Lonchura striata: one gene and its partners. The protein of the gene in region 1 interacts with the protein of each later gene in a pairwise test. Links are inferred from orthologs where the notes say so. Each region holds a gene or a part of one and is shown in the gene's direction. Other genes may lie near its edges. The genes, in order: UBE2E3, RNF111, CNOT4 and MUL1.

The links.
Region 2: the proteins of UBE2E3 (region 1) and RNF111 interact in a two-hybrid assay, tested with the Homo sapiens proteins (2 studies listed by BioGRID and IntAct). The link is inferred for Lonchura striata from reciprocal best matches to the Homo sapiens genes UBE2E3 and RNF111.
Region 3: the proteins of UBE2E3 (region 1) and CNOT4 interact in a two-hybrid assay, tested with the Homo sapiens proteins (3 studies listed by BioGRID and IntAct). The link is inferred for Lonchura striata from reciprocal best matches to the Homo sapiens genes UBE2E3 and CNOT4.
Region 4: the proteins of UBE2E3 (region 1) and MUL1 interact in a two-hybrid assay, tested with the Homo sapiens proteins (2 studies listed by BioGRID and IntAct). The link is inferred for Lonchura striata from reciprocal best matches to the Homo sapiens genes UBE2E3 and MUL1.

What each region holds. Positions count from the first base shown.
Region 1 is NC_134610.1:23,812,248-23,820,184, forward strand, and holds the start of UBE2E3 (ubiquitin-conjugating enzyme E2 E3), read left to right. Parts: upstream 1-4,924; 5' UTR 4,925-5,115; intron 5,116-5,494; exon of another isoform or gene 5,495-5,546; intron 5,547-6,366; 5' UTR 6,367-6,375; coding exon 6,376-6,569; intron 6,570-7,937. UniProt on the Homo sapiens protein: Accepts ubiquitin from the E1 complex and catalyzes its covalent attachment to other proteins. In vitro catalyzes 'Lys-11'- and 'Lys-48'-, as well as 'Lys-63'-linked polyubiquitination.
Region 2 is NC_134613.1:10,560,203-10,567,644, reverse strand, and holds the start of RNF111 (E3 ubiquitin-protein ligase Arkadia), read left to right. Parts: upstream 1-4,439; 5' UTR 4,440-4,547; intron 4,548-4,659; exon of another isoform or gene 4,660-4,973; intron 4,974-7,442. UniProt on the Homo sapiens protein: E3 ubiquitin-protein ligase. Required for mesoderm patterning during embryonic development. Acts as an enhancer of the transcriptional responses of the SMAD2/SMAD3 effectors, which are activated downstream of BMP.
Region 3 is NC_134607.1:56,511,372-56,518,711, forward strand, and holds the start of CNOT4 (CCR4-NOT transcription complex subunit 4), read left to right. Parts: upstream 1-4,338; 5' UTR 4,339-4,662; intron 4,663-7,340. UniProt on the Homo sapiens protein: Has E3 ubiquitin ligase activity, promoting ubiquitination and degradation of target proteins. Involved in activation of the JAK/STAT pathway. Catalyzes ubiquitination of methylated RBM15.
Region 4 is NC_134626.1:7,632,553-7,640,172, reverse strand, and holds the start of MUL1 (mitochondrial ubiquitin ligase activator of NFKB 1), read left to right. Parts: upstream 1-4,613; 5' UTR 4,614-4,644; coding exon 4,645-4,764; intron 4,765-4,863; coding exon 4,864-4,951; intron 4,952-5,849; coding exon 5,850-5,970; intron 5,971-6,661; coding exon 6,662-7,382; 3' UTR 7,383-7,620. Other genes in the region: protein FAM43B, read left to right, coding at 2,128-3,018. UniProt on the Homo sapiens protein: Exhibits weak E3 ubiquitin-protein ligase activity. E3 ubiquitin ligases accept ubiquitin from an E2 ubiquitin-conjugating enzyme in the form of a thioester and then directly transfer the ubiquitin to targeted substrates.

The sequences.
Region 1 (7,937 bases):
GGAGCCAGAGCTTTTACAGAGCCAAAGGTTTAAAATCTAAGCAGTATATAGATAGCACTAAGACATATACTTATTATGTGTAGACTTACACATAATTCAATCTGAGATAGTTTAGGAGTGGAATGTCTCTATTTGTAACAGGGAAATGTAATTTTCACTAGGCCTTCAACATTATTCACTATTACAGCTTTCATAGCAGATTATCAGACACCAAGAATGACAACACAATTTTACTACACCTGTGAGCAGAAAAGGGGCAGATTTCATACCGAAAGTTGCCCAGAAATGCTGGTCTGCCAGAGTTGTATCTGTAGAGCTGTGCTCTCCCTAGCTTATGATTTACACACTATACTGCTGAATATATACCACAAAATAATGTTATGGAATTTATGATGTTACTTATAGACCTATTGATCTCACACTTTGGTACAGGTAGAGTCTGTATTTACATTTTACTCTACTGTAGTAAATATTCAAGACACTGCACTAAAAATTACATGCATTAACACAACTATAACTACACATATCTACACATCAAGGAGAAATTTACAATTAAAATTTGTAAAAGAGGAAAAAATCCTCTTGCTTACAGATGAAATAATGCTTAGCTATTGAGGGAAATATCCTTACGAAAGTCAAATTACTTTTGTCCAGTAGCCAAGAACAACTCCACCCAAATTTTCTCTAATTTTCTTGTTTTTCCTAAAGCTTTCCAAGTAAAATGAAAACTACAGCAATTAAATGCTGGTAAATTCAAGCTGCTTTCAACAAAAAGTAAAGGATGGATTTTTTTAAAGCACTGATATTCATTTGACATGCACTGCACTGAATTCATATGAATGACTACAGGAACTACAAAGGGGCCACTGTGTTTCTAACTTGCATCAATAATCCACATACAAGGAAAGAATTTACAAAACAGAACACAAGAACTCCATGGGAACACCCTAATACAAACATATCCACGTTACTCTGTGCTCTGAAACCATGCATTTATCTGTTATGTTTTTAAGTACCTAATGCTAGTCTGCCCATTAAAAACCAGTAGCCAACTGACCATTTAGCCTTCCAGTGTGTAATATACAACTGTCAAATACAGCATATGCTGAACAGTAGGACTTATGGTTTACTTCTTAGGATTATGATGAAGATTAATTAATATATGTGGTGCTTTAGTGCATGCTAAGTATTTTTCTATGGATTTAGATACATTCTATGGATTTAGCAGTATTCAATGTAATAAAAAAATCCCAGCTAAACAGCTAACTCCTGTGTTAAAAGAAGTTGGCAAAATTCTCTTCCTGATTTATTCAATCATGCAAGGATTCAGAGAAGGAAAGATATCCTGAAAAGTCCTGTAAGAATCCCAACTTCCAGGCCTCATGACAGGCTGCATTAGAGCAGTCTCAGGATTATTGCTGAGCTACAGCAGCCTCCAGAAAGTCATCCTTCAAACAAGAACAATTGAAGCACAGCAGTGTTCTGGCTCTTGCCTTCATCTCTTCCGCCCAGCCCTCTTCCAATCCTTCCTCCACCATATTCCCATGCCAAACTTTGTATGGTGGCAACACAAAACTAACAGATGGGCTGAATACCAGCTGACAAAGGGACCAGGATGTGGCTTTCTAATGGCTGGTTCCTGTCCACTGCCACATTGACTTTATTTCTCAAAAACTTACCTCCACTGTTTTTGTAAATTCTTGAGAACACAAATGAAGTAGGGACGTTGTTCTTTAGGGGCTTATTTTTCCTTCATAAACCCCAAAGAATCCACAGCATCACAATGTAAGAATAATCAGAGTTATGGTGAAGGCACAACAGGATGAGCTGCAGCTACTGCAGGCTTCCTGTACTCCTTTCTGTAAGTCACTACATGCCTTCTTGGCCCAAGATTTTTGCATTGTCTGCTTTCCTAGAACTCTCTGTTAAAACTGTCAATTGTCTTGGGACAAGACACACTGAATATTTGAAAAAGAGCTACCTTACAAAGAGCACTAGTTTCTACTGTGACATTACCTACAAACAAAAACACAATCTAAATCTTACCCCATCCACTTAAAAAAAAAATAAATTGTTCATTTCCTGGTTCTCCAGCCTGTCCACATCTATCTGTAGCACTGCAGTAGGGTGCTGTAGTAGGGGTCCAGCAGGGGCTTTAACACAACCTGGAATGGGAATACACTTAGGACAGAGAGATGCATTTCTAGATGATGAATTTACTGTCAGGAAACTATGACTTTTTAATAAAAAAGATGAAGTACACAACTGTAAACTGTTGAACTGAGTTGAACTGCTCTTAATCATGAAAAATGTATGCTGGCTTTATTTTACCACCTGTACGCCCTTAAAATTATTTGGGTCAGGAGATCCAAATGCTTTTCACCTAGTTTTGGTCCCATTGTTTGCTATCTAAGAACTTCATGTCAGATGGAGGAGACCCAGCTGTGAACTCCTAAATCTAGAAAAATATATTCAGAAGTCTGTGCAGTCCAAGGCAACTGTTCAACCTCTGTGTGCTAACAGAAACTTCATATCTGTGCTCTGACAGAACAGGGAGGAAGACAGACCCAAAAAGATACTGGGCTTTTGAAAAAACCAGCTACCAATCTACCACCTTTGCAAACAGGGCTTCTAAAAAAATAACCCAAAGAAAACAAAAGTAACAAAACACAAACAAGAAAGGCAACTGGGAAAAAAATGTAGGCCTCAGCCTGAGTGCCCAGGAGTTCCTTGGGAAGGCTCTGCAATGCCAGCTGCACTTCCACAATTTGAGCACACAATAAACTGACAGAGAAAACACATTCATGACTCTGTACATCAGTTAAAATTACACTGAAGGCAAATTATGAGGGATATGAAAAATCACAGAGGTGTAGATTTGTAACAATAACTACTAAAATTGGCATTTTTCCCTCTCCTTCAAACTGCACCTTTCAGTGCAGTCCTCTTTATGTGGATGATAACACAGAAAGAAAACATTTTCTTTCTGTGAATAACAAATGAGCCCAAGGAAAATACAACCTCATAAGAACAAAGTGTCATCCTTTGACACCTGACGTCAAATTAATGAATATTCAATCAAATAAATATCTGTTATGTCCACACATTGCTGTAGTAAATTCATTTTAAAATAGTAAAAAATGCTGGGAAAAAAAATAAAATCTAGAATAATTTTTCTATTAGTCTCCATTAAACGGGCTTTCTTAATTTTCACTTTGTATCCTGAAAGCCACAAAAGCCACACATGTAGCTGATGTGGTGTGCAACTCTTGGCCAATCTACTTACTTTCATTCTGTAGATGTACACTTTTCTACTACTTTTTTTTGGGATGACTGCAAATTTTCACCTGAAATAATTTTAAAGACTTAATCCTGACTTTCAAAGTTCCAGCAAGCTTCATCTTGAGCATCATCAACAGAATGGGAAGAGGGGAGGGGCAAAGGCTCTCAGTGCTGACTGATAGATTTTTGATACTGCCTTGCTTTCCTTTTACTAATTATGCCCAGATTGCTCATCATGCCAGATACTGTTTATGCTAGGAATTTTATACAGCATACCTCAGGGGCAAATTGCCTGTAGTGGTGAGCTGGGAATTCTCTATAGCCTACTTTAAGAAACAAACCTCCAGTATTCCCCTACATCGTATTATTCAACTTTCCTGCCAAATCTTCAGCATGAGCTAACTTCAGCTAACGCCAGTGAAGGGTACTCCTTGACGCACCAATTCTTCATTCCCTCTAGAGCATGGTACATGCTCTTTGAGCCCTTGATCTTGCACAAGCTAAGAAAACACAGCAGTTTTAAGTCATTAGGCTGTTGATGATGAAAGCTATCTAGGCAAAAGCCCTTGTGCTGGACAGCAACTGTTAGCCTTGAGATTTCATGTACATTTCACAAATATTTATAGTAATTGTTAATTTCTTCTCTGCAGAAGCCAGTAATCCACCAGCTCAACCTCATCTACTTTTCCCAGATAGATAAGATCTTTCTAAAGAAACTGGAATTTAACGCCAGCGTGATCAGGCTCTAAAACTGGAGTATTTACATTCCCTAAATTGGTGGATTGCTATGGACAGATAGTGTGAGAAGCTGTTCAGCGCACACCGGCACCGTGCATTTGGGACGGGCCAGAAAATAAGCTGCATCTCCGTACCATAGCACCTTTCTGTGACACCACAATTGTTGTCAATTATCCCCTTTCCTCTTTAAAACATTTGTGATTTGGCGCGCTGGTTGCTCGCAGAGCAGCCCTGGTTGTGATGGTGAATACTTCTATTCAGAGTGGGGAGGCTGCAGGGTGGCCGGTGTTTTTCCAGCTCCAAGAGCCGAAGGCAGGCGTTGGGGGTGTTGGGGTCGAGGGTCCCATTCCCGCGTGTCCCTGGCCTGACGCGGGGCGCGCGGCACGAGCCGAGGCGTGCGAGGTGCGAGGCCGAGGGCCGTGGACACCGCACGACCCCCGGGCATCGCCGTTCTGCCGGGCACCGGCCCGGCGAGTCCCGCGGCGGGCCGGAGGCTGGAGCCCCCGGGACCGGGTCAGCTGAGGGCTGCGGGAGGCGCCCGGCCGGGCGGAGCGGCCATCGAGGGGCGATCCCCCCCCCGCTCCCGGGCCGCCGCTTTGTCCTTGCCCGGCCCGGAGCACGCGCGCCCCCGGCCGCGGCGGGAGCGCGCCTGCGCGCACCCCGGCGGCCGGCAGACGGGAGCGAGCGCCCCCTCTCCCCTCCCCCGCTCGCCGGGAGCTCCGCCGGCGGCCGCGGGCGGGCGGGGGAGCCCGGGCGGGGCGGGGAGAGCCCGGGGGGCGGCCGGGCCCCCTCCCCGCCTCCGCTCCGCCGCGCGCGCCCGCCGCCCCCCGCCCCGGCCTCCCGGCCCGCCGCGGGAGCCCGCGCCGCAGAGCGGGGCCCGCCAGCGCCACCCGCCGGCCGCGGGGCCGCACCGCGCCTCCCCCCGTCCCCCCCTGCTCCGGCTCTCAATGTTCCACACTGCCCGGCCACAGAGCCGCCGCCGCCGCCGTAGAGCCCCCCGGCCGCCTCCGTCCCCTCCTCGGGCGCCGCGGGCCCGGCCCGGCCCCCCGCCATCCCGCCCCTCCGACCCAGCATCGGGACAGGACGCCGGCGAAGGTAAGGGAGCGGCGGGCGAGGCGGCCGCCGCGGCGGCTGGGCGAGCGCGGTGGGGGGAGGCGGGGAGGAGGCGGGGGGGCTGGTAGAGGAGCTTTGTTCTTGTTTTCGGCGCTCGCTGCCTGGCGGCGGCCGGGGACGCGGGGCCGGCCCGAGTTCACGCCTCACTTGGTGCACACGCACGGTGCGGAGCGGGGCCGGGCGAGCCGCCGCCGCCCGCCGAGCCGAGGCGAGCCGAGGCGGGCTGGCGCTCCCCACAAAGCGCGGCCGGGCGGCCGCCCGGATCCAGCCCTGCCGCAGCTCCCGCCGCTCCTCCTCGGGCCCCCCCGGCCGCCGGGGCAGCCCCCTCCTTCTCCCCCCCGCCCCCCCGCCTTCCCGATCGGCGGAAAAATGTCGGTCTGCCTGGCGGAGCTGCGGGGAGAGCCGTGCAGAAGGTGCAGTTTGAATTATGCTTCTTCCCCCTCCGGCAGCTCTGTGGTGGCCAAATGCAGTTCTCGCTGCTGGCCATGTAAATAACCGGGGCTGCTGCTACCCCAGTGGCTTTAAATGCGTCGCGGGGCTTTTCCCCTTACCAAAAAAAGCCCTACCACCGATAAAAAACCAGACCTCGTTCCCCCGCGTGCCAGCCCTTTAAATGCTCAGAGCAAGTGTACATTTCCATCTGAAATCAACCCAAGTGTAACTGGCAGTGTATTTTCTCGGAGAGAGGGGAAGAGTGGGGGATCTGGACCCAATAAAATGCTCTGTCCCAGTGTAAATATTTACGGGTTATTAGTGACTTTTTAAAAAACATTTTCAGTGAGGTCTGTTATTTACAGTGTGTCATAAGTTATTAATGCTCATTGCCTAAGTACTCTGCTAAATCTGTCTCATGCCTTAAACAAAGTCGACAATTGGCATATTGTTTAAAGTATGAAAAAAAATGTGAGTGGGTTTAAAAATTGGAAATATCTGTATTTTCAGAAGTGTAAATATTGCTTTGTAGCTGTCAAACTCCAGCCCTTGTGTATGAGACAAAGAAGTATATTTTGATTAATTTCTCACTGAAACTGACTTGTCACCTATTCAAAGTTTTCTGGGACTTGGGGAATACCAAGAGAGAGTCCTGCCTGTTGTATGAACTCTGCCTCTTTTCTTCCCAAAAAAAGTTCTGCATGATGTCCAATGGTAGGCAGAGGTCAGCGGAACTTGGGGAATGACAAGAGAGAGTCCTTCCTTGTGTATTAATTCTGTCTCTTTTCTTTCCCCAAAAAGTTCCCCACGATGTCCAGTGATAGGCAGAGGTCAGACGATGAAAGTCCAAGTACCAGCAGTGGTAGTTCAGATGCCGATCAGAGGGATCCGCCTGCACCTGAACCTGAAGAGCAAGAAGAACGAAAGCCCTCTGCCACTCAGCAGAAGAAGAACACCAAACTATCCAGCAAAACTACTGCTAAACTATCTACTAGTGCAAAAAGGTAAAGGAGGGCGTGAAACGTCCTGCAGTATTTTTGCACATAGTTGGAGTCACAGTACTTGCACTGCGCTTGTCAGGGCAGAGGCATTCTTCTTGTAAAGCTGTGTGGAAGGGAATGTACTATCAGCTTTGGTAGTTGACAGGAGCCTGCTAAGCAGTGTTTTAATTAATCTAAGTCTTGTTGGGGTAGCAGTTAAACAGAATAGTGCTATGTCTTTTGAAGAGTTGGTGCAGAACTTGGTGACTTACAGGGTGACTGGGAGGGGGGCACCTAGGTACATTTTGTATTTTCAAAAATGTGTGAGAGATCTTTGGTGCTTTTTTCTGAGTTAGGTTTCCATGCCTGATTGGTATAGGGTGGAGTCCTCCTGGAATATTTTATTATGGTTGGTAGACTGATGACAGGCAATGCTGTCTAATTAAAGAAGTCATAAAACCCCAGTGGCTTCTCTGGGCCTTATGAGAGCTTTTCATGATGATGCACAGGAGAGCCTTACACACCTTGAAGGAATGGGTTCATTCTGCCATTCTCCTGGGAGAAACTTAGGTGAGTTTTCTCCCTTAGGAGCTGTGGATTTAAACCTGTGACATTCTACAGGTAGCCTCTGCCTTTAAATATAAGAATCTTCAGAAACCTCGTTTAGTTATATTGGTTGCACTTTCATTTGCATATAAGTTTATTGGCAGCTGGGCTCTCAGGAATTACTCTGGTAATTTTCTCAAAGATCAGCTGTGTGAAATACTCAAACTTTAAATTCTTTAATTCCGGCTGTCTTTGGAGATGAAACATAACTTTCCAGTCCTTTCCTTGGAGTTGCTTTTCTTTGAAAACATTTACAAGTATCCAGTAGCAAGAAAAGTTGAAAAATAGCTGTAGTTAGCTTCAAATTTTGCTTATTCAGCGTAACTATTGTAGTTCTGACTTTTATGAGCACTTTAGTAATTTTGTATTGGACTTAAACTTAGTAAATTCTTTTTGAAATATGTTAAAATTGTTGCAGAGAATGGCTGCATGCCTTTGATGACTTTTGAGCTTGTTAAAGAAACCCTTTGAAATAGGACTGGCTAAAGAGAAAAAAGTTTTGCAACTACTGTGCAGCACTTGTAATTTGTTGTTACTTGTCTTTTATTTGACAAGCCTAAGATACAGGGTTTTGACATTGAATTTTCCCATATTGTCTTTATTTCATTTAATTGTTGCAAGTGTAATTCCATGCATCTCACATAATTCAGTAGGCTTACTGAACTTATTTAATGTTAATGCAAGTGATGTTAATGCAAGGACATCCAGAGCAGTTTCTGTTAGCTCACCTTTTAAGGCCTGCTATTTGCATGAAATTCACAGTATTGCTCTTATGAGAAGTCTTAA
Region 2 (7,442 bases), on another chromosome or scaffold:
ACATATTTGTTTTTGAATAAGAAAAAGAACTATTAAAAATACTGTCAACAAACTAGCTATTTCCAAGTAATTATATACACCACACCTTCTTAATTATATGGCAACTTAAATACTTAAGCTATCAGATAATCTCAGAAAGATACTGTGAGACCTTAGTAGGAGTTTGCATAATTTTTAAGTCATGTGTTGTGAAAATGCTGTTTCTAACCTTACAGAGCCTTATCTGGCTGTACAACATGAAATCAAATGAGTGACTGGTAGGTCAGTTCCATATCAACATTATACTGTAATGCAGGGTATTTTGTTTTCCCATATATCATAAAAATATAAATTACTATAAATTACCTGAGTGGTGCATGTTATTTTCCAGAGCTTTTGAAAACTCTTTAATTGCATTCAAAAATTTCCATCAGAAAATATATAGCACAGACAACCATCAAGTTTTATTTTTGATTCTGCAAATGATCATTCTTTTCTTGTTTCCTAGTAGAAATTTATCATAATATAAATATTTCAGGACTTTTTATCTTTTCCCTATTTCTCCAATATTCATGGTTAAGATCTTCATCTGGGCTAACTAGAGCTGTGACTGTTTATCATCCAAGTATCAATCCCAGAGTTTTTTTGATCTAACACAGAAATGTTTCTGTATTATCTGGTTTTCTGTATCGTCCTCACAACATACTACAACTTTACATTTTATTACTATTACTAGTAATTGTAAGTTGCCTTAACTCATGCAAGCATTTAAATATATGCTTGAGTATGGTCCGTAAACGGCAAGGATGGCCCTGGCTGCAAGTGACAGCTCCACCAGCAGTGTGCGTGTGACAGATCCACACTCCTGGCTATGGGCGCAGGTTTAGAGGTGGACACCTTCCATGCTGTCACAGTTTTAGAGGTAGACCCCTTCCATGCTGTCCTGGCCACGAGCAGGCTTCATCCAGCCCGGCCCAGAGCAGAGCCAGCTCTCTGGGAGGCTGTGCAGCTCGGCCCACGGGGCTGTTGCAGAAGCTGCTGCTCACCCCTGGAAAAAGCTGTGCCTTGTTCCATTCTGGGCCAGCAAACTGCTCCAGCAGCCCTGCATGAGCTGTGTCCAGCCAAGTAGACAAGCTGCTGAAGGCACCTCAGGATAACTGGGTTACTCTTTTTAGTCTTTTTGCCAAAAATGTAAAGTGCAATCTTCTGCTGGCTGGCATGTTTTGATCTTGGATAAGATAATTTCTTCTCCGTGTCTTTAGTTCTGCCAGGCCCTGGGGTGTACATATAAATGGTTTTGTTCAGCTGTAGTTAGAAGAAGTTGAGGAGTTCAGTATGAACTGATGACATCATAGCCTGAAAGCCATTCTGAAATTTGCATTAGTGATTTAGACTTATTCAATTTAATCTTTTGGTTTTCTGTACCTAAAAAGTGTGAGAAGGAGAACGTTTTGGTTTGTTCCAAGGAATCAGTAATCTAATTTCAAGACAACTGTCTCTGCAAGATACGAAGATAATGGCAGAAAAAACTTCCATGAAAGGGCATAGATAGAAGGTTGGTTTTGTTTTAATAGTGAATAATTCTGGGCACTTAAGTATTTTCTACATCACCTTTCTTTAAAAAAGACGCTAATAACCAGTCAATAATGGACAAACTAATTTTTATCAAGAGTTTATTAAAGGGTGACTGGCCCACAAATTACTAGATTCTTGTCAGCTGGTGGTCCATATTGAAATAAGTGTTAGGAAATCTTAGCCAATAAAGATCCTAGAAATTCTGCCTTTATATTACAGAAAGGTCCACAGATTTGTACCCAGTTTGAACATTTACAGATCATTTGGCCACTGTGACTTCTCACTGGGACAAAATCAAGACTGACTATATTTGCATTTTAATTTGTGAACTGAAAACTTTATCCATGATTTTTGTTTTTGAAATGATCTTTTGTATATCTTTCAGTTGGTGAGCAGAGAGTGACTCTACATTTTCTCTACCAAGAACTACCCTTCTGTCACCTTTGACACAAGAGTTCAAACCAATTATTACGTAAATGGGTAAATACGTAACTAGTTGGTAAGGTTTTTTATTGGTATAGTCTCTCATCAGCTTATTCACAATGCTCCTGTGTCTCATTTCTTAAAGCAATCCAGCCAAATTTTATTAGCTTCCTCTCATACAATCTATACTGTTTTCTTGAGTGTCCCACTAAGATTAGAGTTAATCTTCCTTGGATACATATTTTAAAAAAGCTGCAAGACTACATTAGGAATAATATTTGCAATAGCACTGAGACCTCTCTCTCTTAAAATTATTTAAACAAAATTATTATAGAGATATATTTGCTTTTTCATGTCTACAAAATGTTGTTGACTGATGGTCATTTACTTAATTACATTGGTAATTGAACTTCGCATCCAGCTGCCTTTTACCTGATAAATACCCAAAACTTTTGGTCATTAACATTCAAGTGCACATTCTTTGTATTTGATGTTTTTTTCACTTTGCTTCTATTAGTCCTCAGGGTCATTTACTTCTTCCCATATATTGTCTTGATTGGTTTTTTCCCAGCTGATTTTTAGTAAAGTATTCCAACTTTGGATCTAGTGCTTAATGGAAAAATATTAAAATTGCTTACACAGTCAAGCCACTGGTGACCCCCATGGAATGATAGGACCTTCCTCCCACTGTCTGTTGCTGTCTTCACATTCTCCCCAGTTTCACTGGTTATTTCATCTGTGGCTCGGTGTCTGTGTTTACTTTTTTAAAGTCATATATATGACTTTAAAAAAAGAAAACTACCCAACACCACGAGAAATATGTAGAGAAAGGTAGACAATTAATGTTGGAAAACCTGTGTTATTGTCTTTATTGCAAACTGAAATTAATTGTTGCTCTGCTCATGGAACCACATGAAATAACCTGTGATCCTTTTTGCATTTTGTACACTTTTGGATATATATTGAAGTAGAGTCTAATTTCCATGTTGTTTTATCCACTTTTGCTTTAAGGAAATTCTGTTCAGAAACTCATGCAATTATTTAATGAAATAACATGCATTTTTCCCCAGTGACCACTTCTTTTGTAATGATGCATGCAGGTTGTTTAGCTCCTCCAAAACACGTAGGATCTGCTGTGTATTGATGACTCTCTGGTGCAGTGCCTTCTGAGTAAAATCTCTAACTATTTGTAGACCAGACTGTACCTGTCTGCTCCAAAGCCTCGGGTTTGTGTAGCTGCTGGTCACGGACAGTATAGGACCCCTGTCTATGCAGTGTTTCAATCTGGAGCTGGAATGTGTACCCTGACATTGATGAAAGGTCATCTCTGGCAGAGGTATCCTGGCCTCTGGCAGTTGCAAAGTCAGCAGACGCTGAGGCTTGCTGCTGTCTGAGAGCCTTCCCAAAGCCTCGTGTTTGCTGTGCTGTCCGTGTCACACACGGCCGCTGTCGGGACAGGTCCTCACCGTTTGTGTGCACATAGGAATGCAGCGGGGAAAGGCTCACCTCATCCCGACTCTGTGCAGTAAAGACAAATAAACTCCTATTTCTAACGAGCTGGGATGGAGAGTTGGGATTTGCCGGCGTGTCTTCGCAGCCGCAACTGTCACTGGCTGCAGGACGGGCAGCCGCGAGGTACTGCGGTGCCAAGGGAGACAGCGCTGGGAAGAAAAGGAATGGTTCTGGACAGGTGCTAGAAGGGACATCGCAGAGGGGCAGGCTGGAGCGGCCGCAGGGGCTGCCCCGCTGCTCGAGCCGGCTCCCAGAGCCCCCGGCGCTGGACAGCGTGCTCCCGCTCCCGGGCGCTCGCTGCACCGCCAGGTTCTTCCTCAGGCCGGCTGGGACGTTCTGGGCGTGTTTCTGCCATTGCCTCGTGTCCCATTCCTCGGCACCGCCGAGCAGAGCCCGCCCTGTGCTCTGACACCACCGCTTTACAGATTTACACACAACCGCCTAAAGGCAGCAGCAGCGACGGCAGCCCGGGCCGTGCCGCCGGTCCGGGAGCCCATCCCGACGTGCCCGCTGCCCTCAGGAGCCCATCCCGACGTTCCCGCTGCCCTCCCGAGCCCATCCCGACGTGCTCGGTGCCCTCAGGAGCCCATCCCGACGTGCTCGGTGCCCTCCCGAGCCCATCCCGACGTGCCCGCTGCCCTCAGGAGCCCATCCCGACGTGTCCGCTGCCCTCCCGAGCCCGCCCTGCCCCGCGCGGTCCGGACCCGCGCTGTGGCGGCGCCGCCGGCCGGCAGGGGGCGCGGCGGGAGGCGGGGCGCGCGGCGGCGCGGCTGCGCTTTGCGGGCGGCTGTAAAGCAGCGCCGAGTGTCGCGCGGCGCTGGGCAGGGAGCGGCGGGGGCTGCGCCACAACAGAGCGGGGCCCGCCCGGCGCCGCGGCCGCACCGGGACCGGAGCGCGGCAGCGGCCGCACCGCCACAGCCGGCACGCTGCGGCCTCTCCCGGCGCGCCGGGCAGCGCCGCGGGGTCACTGCGGCGCCCACCGGGGCCGCTTCTACCGCTCGGCCCTGCGCAGGGCGCCGGCGGCACCCGCCCCTTCCCCCGCGGCCTCGCTGTCTCAGGTACGGGGGGCGGCGGGGACCCGCGGGTGGGGCCGCGGCCGGCGGGGCGGCCCCGCTTCCCCGCCCGGCACTGACGGCAGCGGCGAGCGGCGGGGCTGTGCGGCGGGGGGGAACTTCACGCAGAATGTGTTTTTCCTTTTTTATTCAGCGCCTCGTTGACGCACAAAGCAGTGCCTTCACTGCGGGCAGCCGCAGCACTCTCTGGGGTTCTGTCACAAATTTGTCACAAATTTTCCCCTTAGGGAAATGAGTTTCTATTTCTGTGCGTAATAGGGTCTGTTATGACGTCATTTGTTTTGTTTGCGAAGTTAGTGTTCTCTTAACCCATGTTTAAAAAAAAAAAAATCACAATTTTCAGGTGGTTTTTTTTGCCTGATGAACAAGGAAGTAACGTTCATTCAGAAATGTAGGCCGGGATCTTCAGAGGTACGTAGGCTTGTCACTGTTGCAATGGGCAGGTGTTAAGGGTATGTACTTTTCAAAGTGTCTGTGTTTCTCTGGTTAGGGCTGAGCATGCATTCATGGAATTTTCATGTTGTTAGACTAAGCTCTTCCATGGCTTGAAATTATTTCATTAAATCATAAGCAAGGCCTGGTTGCTTTAGCTGATTAAATGAGACCCTTAATTCCTGATACCCAAGTACTTCTCCAGAAGAGGATGTAATGCAGGAGGTAAGAGTTTGCTGTAATTAGAATAATTTGATTCTAATGCAATGATTTCAGAAACAAAGGTTTGAACAAAAATATAAGAATTGACTGTTAATTGTTGTAGACCTGGGTTTGTCATGGTATCTGTATTATAAACTATTAAAGGAAAGCTGTGTTTTCAGGTGCAGTATAAGGTCTTACCTTGTCTTTGTTGTAACTTGCAGAAAATTCCAAAGGTATATAAGTGCTGCATACTTAGTAGAAAGCTTTTTCAGGAAGACTAATATTTAAATAGTTACAATGCTTTGCCAGTTTTAAAACCAGAAATTACATCTTGTTGGTCACATATCCATAGTTCTTGCTGTCAGAACTATTTAAGCAATTTAAGTGTTTTTGCACTTAATTTTTTTGGATAAAGGAACTGTCTTGGGGCAGGGAGGGAACAGAAGCAAACCCTGTTAGGATGATGCTTGCTGATGTGCAAGGATTGATAGGGAAAGAAGTGATCTTGGTTTATTTGATAGAGCAAACATCTGGTCACCTGTCCTGTGTACTCATCCACAGTATAGAATCACCTCTGGAATTCATAAGGTAGGAAAGGCTGTAGGAACATTTTATGGTTCACTTTAATTAAATAATAGTGCACAAGGCACCAAGCTTCCTATTTTAAAGTCTTGAAGTCTCACATATGTAAAAATCTGTTTTTTATTGATGGTTGAAGCCCTGGCAGCTACAGATGAGATTGTCTGGTATTGGAAGCTTGAGGATGAGCAACAGCTCACAGCATTCATGCATATTTTGAATGTGCTTTCAAAACATGGATGAGAGCATTCTGACCTTTCAGGAATATAGCCTTTATGAAGCAATGGCTTTTGTAAAAATGTATTAAAAATGTATCTTAACACAACTGTGACTCACAGTTTATATTTGAATTAGTGACATTGTTGACCTACATAACCAGATCAGTTATAGCAGTTGATTTTCACTGGAGTTACTGTGTTGCAGTAACATTTAGATGACAGCAGTTGCTGCCTTTTTTTCCCAAGGTGTCCAATCTTTCATTTCAGTTTTTTGTATTTCTTCTAATGGTGAGGACAGTCTTTTCAAAAAAGATAGAGGTGATAGTTCCCTCCTCCATAGCTGATGTATTATAGAGGCTTGCATGTCAAGCAGTTGAATAAATAGGGAAAAATTGAGGGGGGAGTGTGATGATGGGATGGGGAACATGATGATTTAATTCACAGGTAAACAATGGGGATTGTACAGAGAGCTAGATTTGCCATAGGCACATGTTGTATAAAGGGTTCCTCATGGCTTTCCTGATGTGCAATCTCCTTTAAGTGAGTTGTCAGCAGAAGTTTGGCTTGGTAAAAGAAACATTTTCTTTTCTGCCTTTCCCTCTGCCCCATTAGGGTTCTCTGCTAGGCCTGACCTGAGCCCACAAAAAAACCCCCACCAATCTGTACTTAACGTTGAAAAAAGTTCACTAGTTAAGACTTCAGTTGTAGATACATTTTGTTTCTTACAAGAGCACTGTAAACTTTGAAAGTGGCTACACTGACAAAACTCAGGAGACTTCAACTTTGAGCAGCTATCCTATCCTTACCTTGTACATGTATCCAATACGATATTACTCAATATGCATGTTAATAAATCTCTTTTCAACCTTACTGACATACAAAGAGCCAAACCACTACAGATCTAGTGACAAAATAGTATTATTTTGTTGTTTTATATAGTTTATGCTATTTGGAAAAGGAATTGCTCTAAATTAAAATTATATCTTCCTTACTAAGTGTTCACCAAGTGAAATCTGAGAAGGCTGGTTCATGGCTTTACTAGCAAGAGGCCAGTAAGGGCAATCTCTTTTTTTTTTTTTTTTTTTTTCCCCAATATAGTTTAATCCTAATATTTGACTGCTGTTAAGTAAAATGTTTACTTTTGTCTCTGCTGGGTGCAGAGTGGAGAAGTCTGCTGCAGTGTCCTTTCCCCTGAAACTGGTAGATCAGTTTAGTATCTATAAAATCTCCTTCTTCCCATAGGTTTCCTGAAAAACAGCATAAAACTGCCCTAATGGTTAATTTCACAATTCTCACTTGAAAGGTTCTTACTAGCAGCTGTGGCAAAGATCATGTTTAACTTTGTTCCTCAAAGCTTTATTGAGAAGTGTTTGCAAAATGCACTACATCAAGAAGAATTACACATACCTCAAAGGTCAAAAATGGGACTAAGAAACAATTTTTTAAA
Region 3 (7,340 bases), on another chromosome or scaffold:
TGGTTAATCTATAAAATATGGTTAGCATACCAGCTTGGTCCCTGATCCCTGTGGATATGTTCCTGACCCATAGTGGCTCTTGGCCTGGTCCAGTCATGGTACAGAGTGATAGGGGAAAGATGGAGCAGAGGGGAAAGAGGGCAGAGCAGCACAAGGCACACAGCACAACATTCCTTTCCTTCTGTCGGCGTGTCAAGCACAAGCTAAGATGGAATGTTCTCTATCAGAATATAAGAGCCAAATTTCTCTGTACAAGCATCTCTGTCATAAAGAGTCTCAGTTACAGTGCTGCCTATATGCAAAACTGATCTAATTATTCTCAGATCTCTCATTTGTCCTCATTACAGCTGGTTCCCTCAGCTCCTTAAGGAACATAATTCATATTTCTGATTAATAAATGCTTTGACTTTCCTACTTAAGCTATTACTTTGCCTATCTAATCTCAGACTTGTCTCTCTATCAGCATTATTTATATAGCATAAAATTAGCTGCAGTAGCTCACATTCCTTTTGGCAAAAGGAAATATATCTGTCTGGAAAATTGCAAGGTTGCAGCTGGAGCTTGGCTGGCGCAATATATTTACAAGCGTCAAAGTTCATGCCAACCCTTTAATGCAACGTCATACTTTCTTGACAGGTGAGCTCCTGTCACACCTGGCTTATGCAGAACATGAGTTCCAACACAAGAAAAAGTCAGTGGAAGTTCTTGTAATGGACAGTTCCTGTTTATACAGCAGCCATGGAATCAATATGCAGGAGAAAGTATTGCATTTTCTCAAGTCATGCACTTTTTATTTCATCTCAGCAAATCGCATATGGCTGAGGCATTTTTGTAAGAATGTGAGCAATTTTGAGCTCTGGAAAATGCTGAGTGCTGTTGGATGAAGGCAGAGAAGGACAGAAGAGGAAAAATACATTCCTTTGAATGCACTAATATAGAAGGCAATTAAGGAATATAACAATAATGAGCAATCATTCTGTCTCATAATGTATGTTTTGCTTTAAAGAGCAGGTGATGACTCCCTGAAAACAATAATAAGTAACATAATGAAGTCCTGCCTACACAGGGATGTTACTTCAAATATTTCAGATAAGTTGGCTTGAGCATATTTGTAACGATTGTTTTAAAGTGGCTGGACTTTCTTTTTTTGCATGGATGAAACCCAGGCTCACTAGCTCTCAGCTATGACCTGTATCCAGTTTATGAGAGGATTCTACCCATATTTGAATAATTTTCCCTCATTGTATAATGTGATAAGGTTTCTTTGCTGTCTGGCCCCTGAGTGCCCTCTTTTCTTACAAGATCATCTGGATCAAGTATGTTAATCTCTCCTGCTGAATGCTGATGGCTTCCACCGCAATTCCAGTATGTGTGTGCTCCTCCAGATGCACACTTTTTTTTTTTTTTTTTGAGTACCACCTCTTTCCCTCCTTAATATTGTCTCATGGGTTATATGTATCAGCACATCCAACCCAAACTTCAGGGCACTGCCTCAAATATTACTATTTGTGACTGCTGGTCAAACTTCATGCAAGAAAGGGACATTCCTGAGAAATGGACCAGTGCTGCCATGCTGCCATAAAGCAAAATATAAATCATATATAAATCATATAAATCAAAATATAAATCATATAAATCAATCATATGAACAGACATTTTTACTCTAGCTAGTGCTTGGTTATTTCCAAGAAAATGTATTCCAAAAGCTTTTCTTTATGAATGTGGAAATGATTTCTTAGAAACAGTCCTGCTGAGTTATCAGACTCATTCAAAAAAAGAAACCCAAACATTTCCAAGAGTAAATAAGGTGACAAAATATGGTTAAGTAATCTTACGAAAGCAATTACAAATACTTACAACTAATAAAAGAATTAATTTAAGGACATCTTAAAACTTTAAAATGGCCACATAATGACCTAGTGAATTATTTTTACCAGATTAAATAAGAGGTGGAAGCAGGGCTATGGATAACTTTTGGTAACATCAGCCAGAGTAGTCTTCAGTCATGTAGATTTTTTCCTACATTATTATTGGATACTGCTGCTATCTGTTCATGTAGGTCTTGGCAACATGATTTGAACAGAATTTTACTAAGGGAAAGACTCCTTAATTCTGAATTAAAAGAAAGCACAGAATTCACTTAATATTAACAGCCTCAATTCTGACTCAAAATCACAGCTTTCATTTATATTATTTTTAACCTTTCTTTCCAAGTCAGAATACTTGCTTTTATTCAATAGGAAACGTTGCTGGTTATTAGGTGTGTCAACAATCACATTACTTATATAAATTACTTACATAATTGGTACTTCTGGAACCTAATGGTTTATATATCAGTTGATAGGAAAATGTAAAAATAATAAAGTTTTTGAGAAATACATTGTTATATACATACATTCACCTGAATTAGATTAATATATACTGACTAGTTACTTTTACATTTTACATTATATATACTTTTACATGATATAGTAAGTATATGTTACAGTCTAAGATATATGCAGAGAAACAGGATTTCTCACATATATAGGCATTTGTGTTCCATATTATGTTTTGTTTTCTGAATAACATGCATTTGAGTTCACATATCAAGACTACTGCTGCAAACAGTAGTCTTTTATGCTGACCTGGGTCTTGCCTACAGCAAGAGTTGATTTATAGAGCTTTCCTGTGGGGGAGATACATATATCAGTCTAAAATTTAATATGCACAAGGTAACCTTAACTTGTTTCAGAAGAAGATAAGCTATGTCAACACAAACATTTTTAGTTGAAGAGGCAACTTGTACAAAACTGTAGTAGTATAATACTTCAAACTAAGAAACAAAATTACAGGAGAAAAAGAATCTATGCCACTAAATGTAATGGTTGTGCCAGTGCATTTGGTGATGAACACCTATTTGTCCTACGAACTGCTGAAATAAGTAAAATTCTCAGGCGAATATTGTCATGGCACAAATAGCAATAGTTTGTGCACTGGAGATAATTGATAATTAAACATCTACGATGAGGCTGGCTGTCCTGAGAGCTAAGGATGCCAGGCCAGAAAAGCCACAAGAGAGCTATAAAGGCGATCAGTAAAAGCACTCTCTGTCAGCTGAGGTGATGAGGTCTTCTGTGCACCATCGGGGATCACAGAAAAGAGGGATACAGGTGCAATTTGAACAGATCCATGGCACAGGGTGTCTGTGGTAGAAAGAGGGGATAGAAGCAATGCAGTTTCCCTGAGTTTCTACAAAATAAAAAGTGAGAATCAAGCGAGGAGGGCGAGGCGGGAGGCGGCGCGGGGGTGGGAAAGGTGGCGGGGAGCGCGGCCGGCCGGCTGTGGCGGGGCGCAGTCCCGCTCTGCCGGCGGGCGAGGGGCCGGGCGCCGCGGGCAGAGCCAGAGCCGCCGGGGCCGGGCGCCGCGGGCAGAGCCAGAGCCGCCGGGGCCGGGCGCCGCGGGCAGAGCCGGAGCCGCCCGGGGCCGGGCGCCGCGGGCAGAGCCGGAGCCGCCCGGGGCCGGGCGCCGCGGGCAGAGCCGCCCGGGGCCGGGCGCCGCGGGCAGAGCCGCCCGGGGCCGGGCGCCGCGGGCAGAGCCGCCGGGGCCGGGCGCCGCGGGCAGAGCCGCCCGGGGCCGGGCGCCGCGGGCAGAGCCGCCCGGGGCCGGGCGCCGCGGGCAGAGCCGCCGGGGCCGGGCGCCGCGGGCAGAGCCGCCCGGGGCCGGGCGCCGCGGGCAGAGCCGCCCGGGGCCGGGCGCCGCGGGCAGAGCCGCCGGGGCCGGGCGCCGCGGGCAGAGCCGCCGGGGCCGGCTTTGGCGGAGCCGCGGCCAGCCCCGACCGAGCCGCTGGCAGCCGCGCCAGGCTCCCGGCAGAACACAGCCCCCGGCGTTGTAGCCAACAGCCGGCAAAGCCCGACGGGGAGCTACACGGGATCGCTTCGACCCGGCAGGGGGGGAAAAAACTCCAAGGGACACCAATGACAGGAAAATAATATTTTTAAAGAAATCAACCCACTGCTTGAAAACCGCGCGGTTCAATGTCCAGCAACAGGCGGCTGAAGTTGCAGGGAGTTTACGGACGGGGACTTCCCGGAGCAGGGCGGTGGGACGGCCCTGCCCGGCGGAGGGCTCGGCTCCCCGGCCCGGCGGAAGAGGACCGCGCTCCGGGATGATCGCCGCCACCTCTGCCTCCTCCCGCGCTGCCTGGGCCAGCGCCGCCGCCTACAAGTCCCGTCATGCCCCGCGCCGTCGCGGCCGCTGCCGTCGCGCCCCGTCCCCCTCCCGCGCCGCTCCCCGCCCACTGCCGGCAGCGCACGCGCAGCGGGGGCGGCGTCCGGGGCAAGTCTCCCCAATGTAAGATGGTGGCCGGGCTGGCAGCGGAGCGCCCCGAGCTCGGAGATCGCCCGTCCCTCGCGTAAAGGTCGTCGGAGCAGCCGTCCGAGCGCCCGACTGGCCGCCGCCGCACGTCCCGCCCCAGGAGCACCGCTGTGGGTTTCTCCCCTCCGCTTCTCTCCTTCCTCGCCGCCTCTCTCCTTCCCTCCCCACCCTTCTCCTCCTTTTCCCCTCGCCTCTTTTCCCGCACGCTCGCTCACCCACCCGCCCGGCCGCCTCCGCCGCGCTGGGCAGCCTGAGAGGGAGAGCCGCGCACAGGCACCGCGGGCCGGGCAGGCAGGAGGAAGGCGGGTGAGTGCGAGCTGAAGGCCGGGCCGGGGAGGGAAGGAGGAGGGAAGGAGAGACGAGGAGGAGGCGGGGGGGAGCCGGGCCGCTCTGACTACGAGAGCGCCGAGGCTTCGCTGGGACGGCGCAGGCCGCAGCCCACCCGCCGGTGCAGCCCCGGCGACGGGAGGACGCGCCGGGCCGCTGCCGGGCGCCGAGGGCACCGGGCCGTGAGGGGAGGGCGCGGGGGCGAGCGGGCGGCTCCTCCTCCCTGGGGGCACCGTGGAAGGGGCTCCGTCCGTGTCGCTGCCCAGAGGAGCTGTGTTTATTTCCTCCTCACCCCCATCTCCGGCGCCGGGAAGCCCTTGGGCCGGGCTGGGCCACCGGCCGGGGTGGCGGAGGGACGGTGGCCCCGGAACCGCTCGCATTTGCCGGGGCAGGCCGGTGCGGCCAGGCGCGGGCATCGCAGCGTGATTCACTTAGAATTTGCGTGGAAATTTCCTCTCTTCCCTTCTTCCTCCTCCCTGGAGCCAGGCTCCATTTCTTCTTGTGATATGCACTTTTTTTCCTGAGGGAGAGGCAAACAGATGGTGAATAGCAGCGTCTTAATTTTGGTGTTATTTTGGACAGTCCGTGCAACCTCCTGAGATTTGTCTGTCAGTAAAATAACTGGTATGTAACTTTCCGTCTCCTGCTTGCAAAAATTCTAGAAGCTCTTTCCATTTTGTGTATTAACAGAAGCAAATAACAAGACTATGTATGAGTGCTCATCCTGCTTCTAGCGAGGGTCCTACAGCTCTACCTGCCAGTTTAAAAGTGAGCAGCCAGTGCCTTTGTATGTATAGTAAAAGGGGAGGGAAAATACTAGATAATTATCTTAAAATGCTTCGTTATTATGCCAGAAAGGATTTAATTGTCCGTGGCTTGTATGCTTCTGTCAGTGTGGTAATACCAAGTATGCTGTTCATAGGAGAAGCAATTTTCTCCAGAGTGTATATTAATGTGAGAAAAATCTATCAGCTGCTTAAAACTGCGGAAATTCTAGACCTGCAGATATTGGCTTACTCCTGTCCAAAAGTTTTAGGAGTTAATGTTGACTAGTCACATGTTTACTGAGCCTGTACACATTTCTAACTTGCTGTGTTTTAACTGTGTTTTGGTTTAGTTTTGAAATGTCTTGACTTGAGCATCTCTGTACTTTGAGTTCATATTCATGTAAACATGGTGTCTGGCACTAACAGAAGAGCACACATACTGAAGGATGAATATGTGGAAGATTGAAACGTTTTCTAGCTCCTTTTACTGCTTAAAAAGGGAGAAAAATAAAATGCAGGCTTATGAAGAGCAGGGAATAAAACAGCTGTTTGACTCAAGAGGGTGAATTAGTTTCATATGGCTTACAAATAGTCAAATATACTGCTAGTTTTGTAGCACCTCTGTATTAATGTAGAGATCTAACTTGTGGTCTAGGATTCAGCTGTGCTGCACCTTAGGCTTTTGGAATTCTGTGATAGAGTTTCCATTTCCTAAACAAGATGAACACATGTTTAGAAATACTTGGCTGAAGTGCAAACTAAGTTCATTTTAGGGAAAAAGATTGTTTTGGAAAGGGGGAATACAGTGATAAAATTTTGTCTTCTTTTAGCTTGCATATTTCTTAGATGCCTTTTCATTTGTTTTTAAAATTAGGAGTACTGGAGGATCCTAACAATTTTTCTCTTTACAGAGAAAAGGTGATGAGTGTCTGTCAGGATTAGTGCTCTACTAGTTTCTTGGTGCCTCAGAAAGTTTAAGAATATCTTTACAGTGCCCACTAAATAAAAAAACTTAAAAAGGCTGGTGAGAGAGTATATACAAGTACATGGCTTTTTTGTTTAATTCAAAATAATCTGTATGTAAAAATACCCGTTTTCCTTTGTGGCTATTGTTCATAGAAGTTAGGATATTCTTTGTGAGTTAAATGTTTTTGAAATAGCTCTGACCAAGATCCTAAATATGGGCCCTGAAGGCTTAACTCTGGCAACTACTGCTCAAAATCTCACCTGCCTCTTTGAAATAAATGAGATTATTTCAAATGGACCACTCTGTAAGCACAGGTAACTGTTAAGTGGCTGATTACAGATTGCATCTTGGGCCTTGGTTGCTCTGGTAAGATGAGGCTGATCTATAGGCTTTAACACATGGTGAAAGGAAGTTACTTGCTCAGCAAGACTGCTAGAGTCAAGGGTTCTTAAACTTTCACACGGTGAATAGTGCCTTAGGTTGTACAAACCACCTCTTGTCCTACTTGCAGTTATGCTGTATTGCTGAGATAACTTGAGTAAGTGCATATGTGAAAGACTCCATAACTTAACTTGCTTCAATGTCCTGAATGCTTTCTCTCTTTTAAGATGTACATGCTTTATTTCTTCTTTTTTTCTTTTTTTTTTTTTTTTTTTCAGTGTGTATCTTTCTACCTGCTTAGTCACATTTTTATTGGATGGTAGCAGTGTGAGGAGATAGAACTTTATGAGTAAATAGACTCCCCATCCCTCTGGGCCACCCTCTTCTCTTTCTTGGAGAATAGTCTATGAATTTATTCCTTTCATGAAGTTGGTTAACATTTTAACAACTGTAAATGCTTTCCAGACTTGGAAAATTAAGTATAGCAGAAAATGGTTTGGCATGGCTTGAGCTGTTGCTCCTACCTTCTGGTTCTTCCTGTA
Region 4 (7,620 bases), on another chromosome or scaffold:
GTTGTTTCCCCCTATATACCCCAAAATCTGGGAGAAAAAAAGGAAAACCAGTCCTAGGGCAACTTGTGGGTGGCACTGTGGGGTCAAACCAGTGTAGAGGGACACCACAGGCCCCCTCCCCCCCTGACCCAAATAATGTGGGATCTGTAAATAAAGAAGCTTTCAGGGTGGGTCCACACCTGCCCTCTCAATATGAACACCAAGCAAGTAAACACAGTCCTCACCTCAAGTCAACGAGGGCAAGAATAGAAATTACTAAAGACAGAGGCTATCATGGATAGAAATCTTCCTCATTAGCACTAATTCCCTAATTGCCATCTCCCCAAAACCATACAAGCACTGGGAGCAAACCACACAGCCCATGTTTGCATCAAAAAAGATGAAAACCAGACAAATCCATGCATTTTTTATTATTTTGGCTGCAAAAACCTTCAAGGCTGTCGAGGCCGCGGCAGTGAGAGAGTGGGGCTGGTGCTGTCTGCCTGTGAAGCTGCTATTTTAAGGTTGTATTTGCTTCACTCAAACTGCAGAAAATCTGGGAAGCTGCTAGGAAATGGCTTCCCGTTTCCCTGCAACACCCCACTCTGTTTTTCTTCCCCAAGTAGACTAAAAGTGGGGGCACATGGTGTTATTTTACCCCTTTCTCCACCTCATTTTTCAATCCCAAGGCAAACAGAGCATCCCCAAGCCCAGGGGTCTCCCTGCTTTACATCCAGATGGTAAGAAAAAAAAAAAAAAAAAAGAAGGTGGAACTCAGGGTTTGAGCCAAAGGCACTGAATCCTGGAGCAGCCTCAGACTCCACTGCAGGGCTGAAACCTTGCAAAACCTCCCCAAAAATTCCCCCCGAGCTGTGCCATGGGGAAACAACATTCAATTTCTCCTGGAGAACAGCTGTCTTAGGGGGTTGGCCAGAGATAAAAGCAACAGGTTAAAAGCCAGCTCAGCCCAAAAGGAGAGGAGCAGCAAGGAGGTCTGACTGGCTTGGAAATAACAGGAGCAAAAGGGAGGTCTGGAAGAAAAAATGCCAGCAAACCTGCAGGATCTGCAAATCCTGGCACACACCCTTGTGCAACGTACTGCTTTGGGGGGAAAACCCCACCTTTTTGTCATTCCAGTGTCAGAAGCCATCATCTGACCCTCCCAAAATCAACCCCCCAGCCGGGTGGGAAATCAGGGAATTTCCTCTCACGCCGGTGGGTGTCGGCACCGGGGGTCTGGCGGCTGCATGGGGATGGGGGCTTGATTCCCCCCGGCTTCCAATCCCTGCCGGGGCACGCAGCGAGCGCGCACGGAGCCGGCGGGGGCCGCTCACCGGCGGGGGTCTCTCACCGGCGGGGGCCGATCAGCGTCGGTGACCGCTCACCGGCGGAGGTTTCTCACCGGCGGGGGCCGATCAGCGTTGGTGACCGCTCACCGGCGGGGGCCGTTCACCGGCGGAGGTTTCTCACCGGCGGGGGCCGCTCACCGGCGGGGTCCGTTCAGCTTTGGGGGCCGTTCACCGGCGGGGGCCGTTCACCGGCGGGGGCCGTTCACCGGCGGGGGCCGTTCAGACCAGCGGGGTCCGTTCACCGGCGGGGGCCGATCAGCGTTGGTGACCGCTCACCGGCGGGGGCCGTTCACCGGCGGGGGTCTCTCACCGGCGGGGGCCGCTCACCGGCGGGGGCTGTTCAGCTTTGGGGGCCGTTCAGCTTTGGGGGCCGTTCAGCTTTGGGGTCCGTTCAGCTTTGGGGGCCGTTCAGCTTTGGGGGCCGTTCACCGGCGGGGGCCGATCAGCGTTGGTGACCGCTCACCGGCGGGGGTCTCTCACCGGCGGGGGCCGCTCACCGGCGGCTCCCCGCGTGCTCGAGGAGGTGGAGCAGCCCACGGAGAGCCGCGTCCCCGCAGCCGCCGCCGCCGCTCCCGCAGCATCAGGCGCAGGCGGCACCCGGAACGCGGCGGCTCCACGGCTCCGCATCCTCCGTGGGCAGCCGGATCGGGAACGGGGCCGCGTCCCGCCGCCGGGGTAGGGGACGACACCCCCTGCGCGGGGGGTGCGGGGACACCCCCCAAACCGGCTTCGGGGCTTGGGGGGGTGGTCCCGCTGCTTGCGAGCGAGGCCGGCACTGGCGGAGCGGAGCGGAGCGGAGATGCTGCCCTGGCGCCGGAGCAAGTTCGTGCTGGTGGAAAATGAACGTAAGTGCAAAGGCAAGAGCCTGGGGCCGGGGCTGAGCTACGCGGCGCTGCTGGCCGGCTTCCTCCGCTCCTGCCCGGACCTGCTGCCCCAGTGCCCGCTGGAGCGCCTGGGCAGCGTCTTCCGCGGGAAGCGCCAGAAAGTGGAGCTGAACAAGGAGGACCCGACGTACACGGTGAGGTACCTGGGCAACGCCGTCACCCTGCACGCCAAGGGCGAGGGCTGCACCGAGGAGGCGGTGGGCAAGATCTGGGCCAAGAGCGAGGCGGGCGCCGGCGGGGCCAAGATGACGCTGACGCTGGGCCCCCACGGCATCCGCATGACGCCCTGCGAGAAGGGGGCCCGCCGGCCGGGCCACGCGTACCTGCTGCACCGCATCACCTACTGCGCCGCCGACCGCCGGCACCCCAAGGTGTTCGCCTGGGTGTACCGGCACCAGGTGAAGAACAAGGCGGTGGTGCTGCGCTGCCACGCCGTGCTGGTCTCCAAGGCCGACAAGGCGCGCGCCATGGCCCTGCTGCTCTACCAGACCTCGGCCTCCGCCTTCAACGAGTTCAAGCGCCTCAAGAGACAGAGCGATTTCCGCCACGTGCAGCAGCAGCTCCTGGGCGACGCCATCGTGCCCTTGGTGCCCCTCCGCAGGCTGCTCAACGCCAAGTGTCCCTACCGCCCGCCGGCCGAGCGCGCCCGCTGCGCCCCTCGGCTCAGCTCCATCCTGGAGGAGGAGGAGGAGGAGGCCTTCGGCGCCGGCACGGCCCTGGGGGACGCCGAGCGAGCGGCCGTGCTGCGGCTGGCCAGCGACATGAGGGGCTGCAGCCTGCGCGGGCCCCGCGCCGCCGTGTGCTGAGCCCGCGGCACCGGGCCCCGCGCCGCCCGCCCTGCGCCCCGGCCGCGGCTGGGCCCTCCTGGGGCACCGCTCCGGACAAGACAGCAGCTCCGCTCGCGGCGAGACCCACGGCGGGGGTGGGCTTGCACCCCGGGGAGCCCCCCGGCCCCGCACATGAACCTGCTCTCGTGCCTCCTCCGCAGCGGCCATAATAAAAAAGTGAATGTGTGTTTTCTGCGGTGTGACGGCGCCTGTGTCTTGCCCGGAGCCTGGCGGACGGCGGAGTTAAGCTTGGCTCTGAGGCAGTTTGGGGGGTTTATATTGCATTCACCCCCCGAAAGGCCAGCCAAGGAGGGGGGCTGCGGGGCCACAGTGCTTTCCTGCCGCACCGAGGGCGGGGAGAGCTGCTCTGCGTAGCCATGGCAACTTGATTTTTTAAATCTAGAGCCGGGGGGGCGGCTGTGCCGCCCACGTCGGGGAGCAGTGATGGGGTTTTGGCCCCTCGGACCCCACTGGAGAGCAGAACTTGCCTGCACCACCCCGCCACTCCAAATCAGCACCAAGGGCCTGAAGATCAATAATTTACAAAACATTTCTATTTTTTTCTTCCCATTTTGCTGCTTTCCCAGAATAAGCGATGGTAAGGAAATGGTGGGGGGTGGGAGTTGGGGTAGGGGGGGTTTGTGTCCCCACCAGCAGGGATCTGCCACCCTGCCATGGCCCTTTGTGGGGCGTGGGAAAAGGACTCTGCAAAGTGGGGCTGGGGGCTGCGTCCTGAGGCTGAGTACTCGCACTGGGGGGGCGGGACGTGGTGCTGCTGCCCCCCAGCCCAGTGAGGGGTTGTAACCCCTTCCCCGAGGGGCTATAGGGCTGGGATTTGGGGAGATATCCCCCCCCAGGCCAGTGAGGGGTTGTAACCCCTTCCCCAAGGGGCTATAGGGCTGGGATTTGGGGAGATATACCCCCCAGGCCAGGGAGGGGTTGCAACCCCTTCCCCAAGGGGCTATAGGGCTGGGATTTGGGGAGATATCCCCCCCAGGCCAGGGAGGGGTTGCAACCCCTTCCCCAAGGGGCTATAGGGCTGGGATTTGGGGAGATATCCCCCCCAGGCCAGGGAGGGGTTGCAACCCCTTCCCCAAGGGGCTATAGGGCTGGGATTTGGGGAGATATCCCCTCCTAGCCACGAGGGGACAGGCTTTGGTCTGACCACTGCCCCCACAAACTTATCAGAAGGGTGAGATTCGGGCTGCCCCCACCCTCTAGTAGGGGGGTACGGGGGATGCTCTCCGCCCACACCGGTGGCATTAGGATTTGGGGCCAGCTGCCAAGATCCTAAGGGATGGCTGCGATTTGGGGATGCTGGTAAGGCTGGAGTTTGATCCCCCCACAAGACCCCAGGGTGGGGGTGGGGTTAAAGGGGTGGGGAGGCTGCGACCTGTCCCGTAAACTCCCAGGGGTGGGATTCACTCCCCAGAGCCCCGCGGGGCCGGGATCCGGCCCCACTCCGTGCGGGGCGGCCGCAGTCCGGCTCTGCCCCCCGGCCTGGCGGACCGCCCGTCTCCATGGCGGCGCCGCGGCTGCCGGAGCGCCGCTCTGACGTCATCGCCGCGCGCCGGGCGGTTGCCGTGGTAACGGCGCGAGGCGGCCATGGAGGGCAGCGGGCGGCCCTCGGCCGCGCAGGCCGTGCTGCTGACCGCCAGCACCGCCCTCACCGCCCTGCTCTACTCCATCTACCGCCAGAAGGCCCGCGTGGCCAGCGGGCTCGAGGTGGGTGTGAGGGGTGCGACGGGGGAATGCGTTTGCCCGGGCGCCGAGCCGCGGCCTGGTCGCGCCGGCTGAGCCGCGGCCTGTGTTTGTTCCCCGCAGGGCGCCAGGAAGGTGCGGCTGGACGGGGACCTGCGCGCCCTGCTGCTGGAGGCGCCCGGACGCTGCGTGCCCTATGCGGTCATAGAAGGTAGGGTCGTCTACAAACACCGGAGGCTTATGTCCAAAAAGGAGACGGAGGAGTCCTGTGACTTTATTCAAATCAAGGGAGAGGTCATGGGCATTTCCCATGGGGTCTCTCAGGTTACTAGAGGATGCAGCCTCCTTTTTATTGTCATTTCTCTCTCTCTTTCTGTATTGGCTGAGGCATTTGAAAGGTACAGACTTCCTGAAATGCCTGATACCTAAGTCCCCCTTCTAATGTATAACCTCATCCCACTTTCCTTTTCCTTGGGTCAGTCCGTAGAATTCCTGTGGCATTTATGGTTCTTCCTATTCTTTCTTTTATCTCTCAGTATCTAGTTTTATCTACCAGCAGACCCACAGTTTGTTTGTAAAGACAAATCCCACATTTCTTTCAAACAGGACCCAAAGCAGTGTCCCAAATGGAGGAGGGGGGGCACATCCTGCCCCACAGCTGCTCCTCACTGGGGGATTTCATCCCCAGCTCCTCCTCCTGTGCCCATCAGGTCATCTCCCCCCTGCCAAGCAGCCACAGACTCCTGACAGCAGAAAATGTGGGCTCTCAGCCCTTTTGTCTCCATCTTAGAATTCTAGAATGAAAGAAGCCTTAAAAGTTGAAAGAGACCTTAAAGCTCATCCAGTGCCACCCCCTGCCAAGGGCAGCCACACTTTCCACTGTCCCAGGCTGCTCCAAGCCCCGTCCAACCTGACCTTGGGCACTGCCAGGGATCCAGGAGCAGCCACAGCTGCTCTGGGCACCTGTACCAGGGCCTGCCCAGCCTCACAGGAAGGAAAGGATTTCTTCCTAGCAGCCCATTGAAGCCATTCCCCATGGTCCTGTCACTCCCAGCCCTCGTCCAGGGTTTGTTCAGTCAGCCCTCACCTGGCCTTGGGCTCCGTTGCAGGTGTGGTGCGGTCGGTGAAGGACACCCTGAGCAGTCAGTTTGTGGAGAACTGCAAGGGCGTGGTTCAGAGGCTGACACTGCAGGAGCACAAGATGGTGTGGAACAGAACCACCCACCTCTGGTATGTGCCTGTGGTGCCCTTGGGGGGTCTGTCACCCTGAAACGGCCTCAGACATGGCCAGAGTGACCAAGTGCCTCAAAGCTGGGTCTCAAAGTAGCCCCCACAGTGACAGCTGCCATAATGGGGGTTTGGCTGATTTTAGAGCTGGATTTGGCTGATTTTAGAGGGGCTGGAGGAGAAGAGCACATCGAGTAACCCACCACGAGCTGAACACTGATCAGCCCCACCTTGTTACCCCACCAGAGGATGGTGTTTCCAAAAAATACCCACTTGCAGAACAGAAATTAATTGGATTTGGGCAATCCATACACCCAGAGGTCATAGAGCTGCTGAAGCAGAGCCCAGTGATGCAGTTTGATAAGCATTTGGCAACACCAAACTGGGATGTGTGACACGTGGTGCTTCTCCTCACAGGATGGTTTTTGGCAGCTGGGAATGCCACAGGCAGGTGAGGAAGAAGTAGGTGGGGATGGGGAAAGCCCCCACTACTTGTGGAGCACTGAGATGGGGGTGGAATGGCCTCGTGCACACCTGGACAGTGCCATGAGGGGAAAGGTGTTCTCCAGAGGCCCCCATCAAAGAAGCTCCACTCAGGCATGTCCCATCTGGCAGTCCCCAGACCCAGCAGGTGATCCCAGGCAGTGTTTCCCACCAGGGGCAGTCATTCACTTCCCCCCTGCTCCCTCCCCAGGAACGACTACGAGAAGATCATCCACCAGAGAACCAACACCACCCCCTTTGACCTGGTCCCTGCCGAGGACGGCGCCGGCGTCACCGTCCGGGTGATGAAGCCTCTGGAGGCTGCCGAGCTCAGCCTGGAGACGGTGTACGAGAAATTCCACCCGTCTGTCCAGTCCTTCACCGACGTCATCGGCCACTACATCAGCGGGGAGCGCCCCAAGGGCATCCAGGAGACCGAGCAGATGCTGAAGGTGGGCACGGCCCTGACCGGCGTGGGAGAGCTGGTCCTGGACAACGCCACCATCAAGCTGCAGCCCCCAAAGCAGGGCATGCCCTACTACCTGAGCTCCCTGGATTTCGAGTCCTTGCTGCAGAAGCAAGAGTCCGGCGCGCGCTTTTGGAAGATCCTGACGGTGGTGTCGGGCTTTGCCACGTGCGCCGTGCTGTTCTTCCTGCTGCGGAAGCAGTACCGGCAGCACCGGGAGCGGCAGCGCCTCCGGCAGATGCAGGAGGAGTTCCGGCTGGCCCAGGAGCGCCTGACGAACACCGAGGGGGGGGAGGTGCTCAAGAACGCCTGCGTGGTCTGCTTGAGCAGCACCAAATCCTGCGTTTTCCTGGAGTGTGGCCACGTCTGCTCCTGCCACGAGTGCTACCAGGCTCTTCCCAATCCCAAAAAGTGCCCAATCTGCAGGCAGGGCATCACCAGGGTGGTTCCCTTGTACAACAGTTAACTTTTTGTGGTTCCCCGGGGGGAGACTTTGGATTTAAAGCTGCCACTGGCAAAGCGGTTTTGTCGCCTCACTGCTTGGGTGGTGGGTTTTGGGGAAGGGGAGGGAGCTTGAGGGAGTGGGTGCTTCACCAGGGGGGCAGAGCTGAGTCTGAAAAGGTGACTCTGCAGCTGATCAGGGCTCACGCTATAATCTGGGGGTGATTTTGAGAGATGATTCCTTGCAAAGGGTGAGGTGCCTG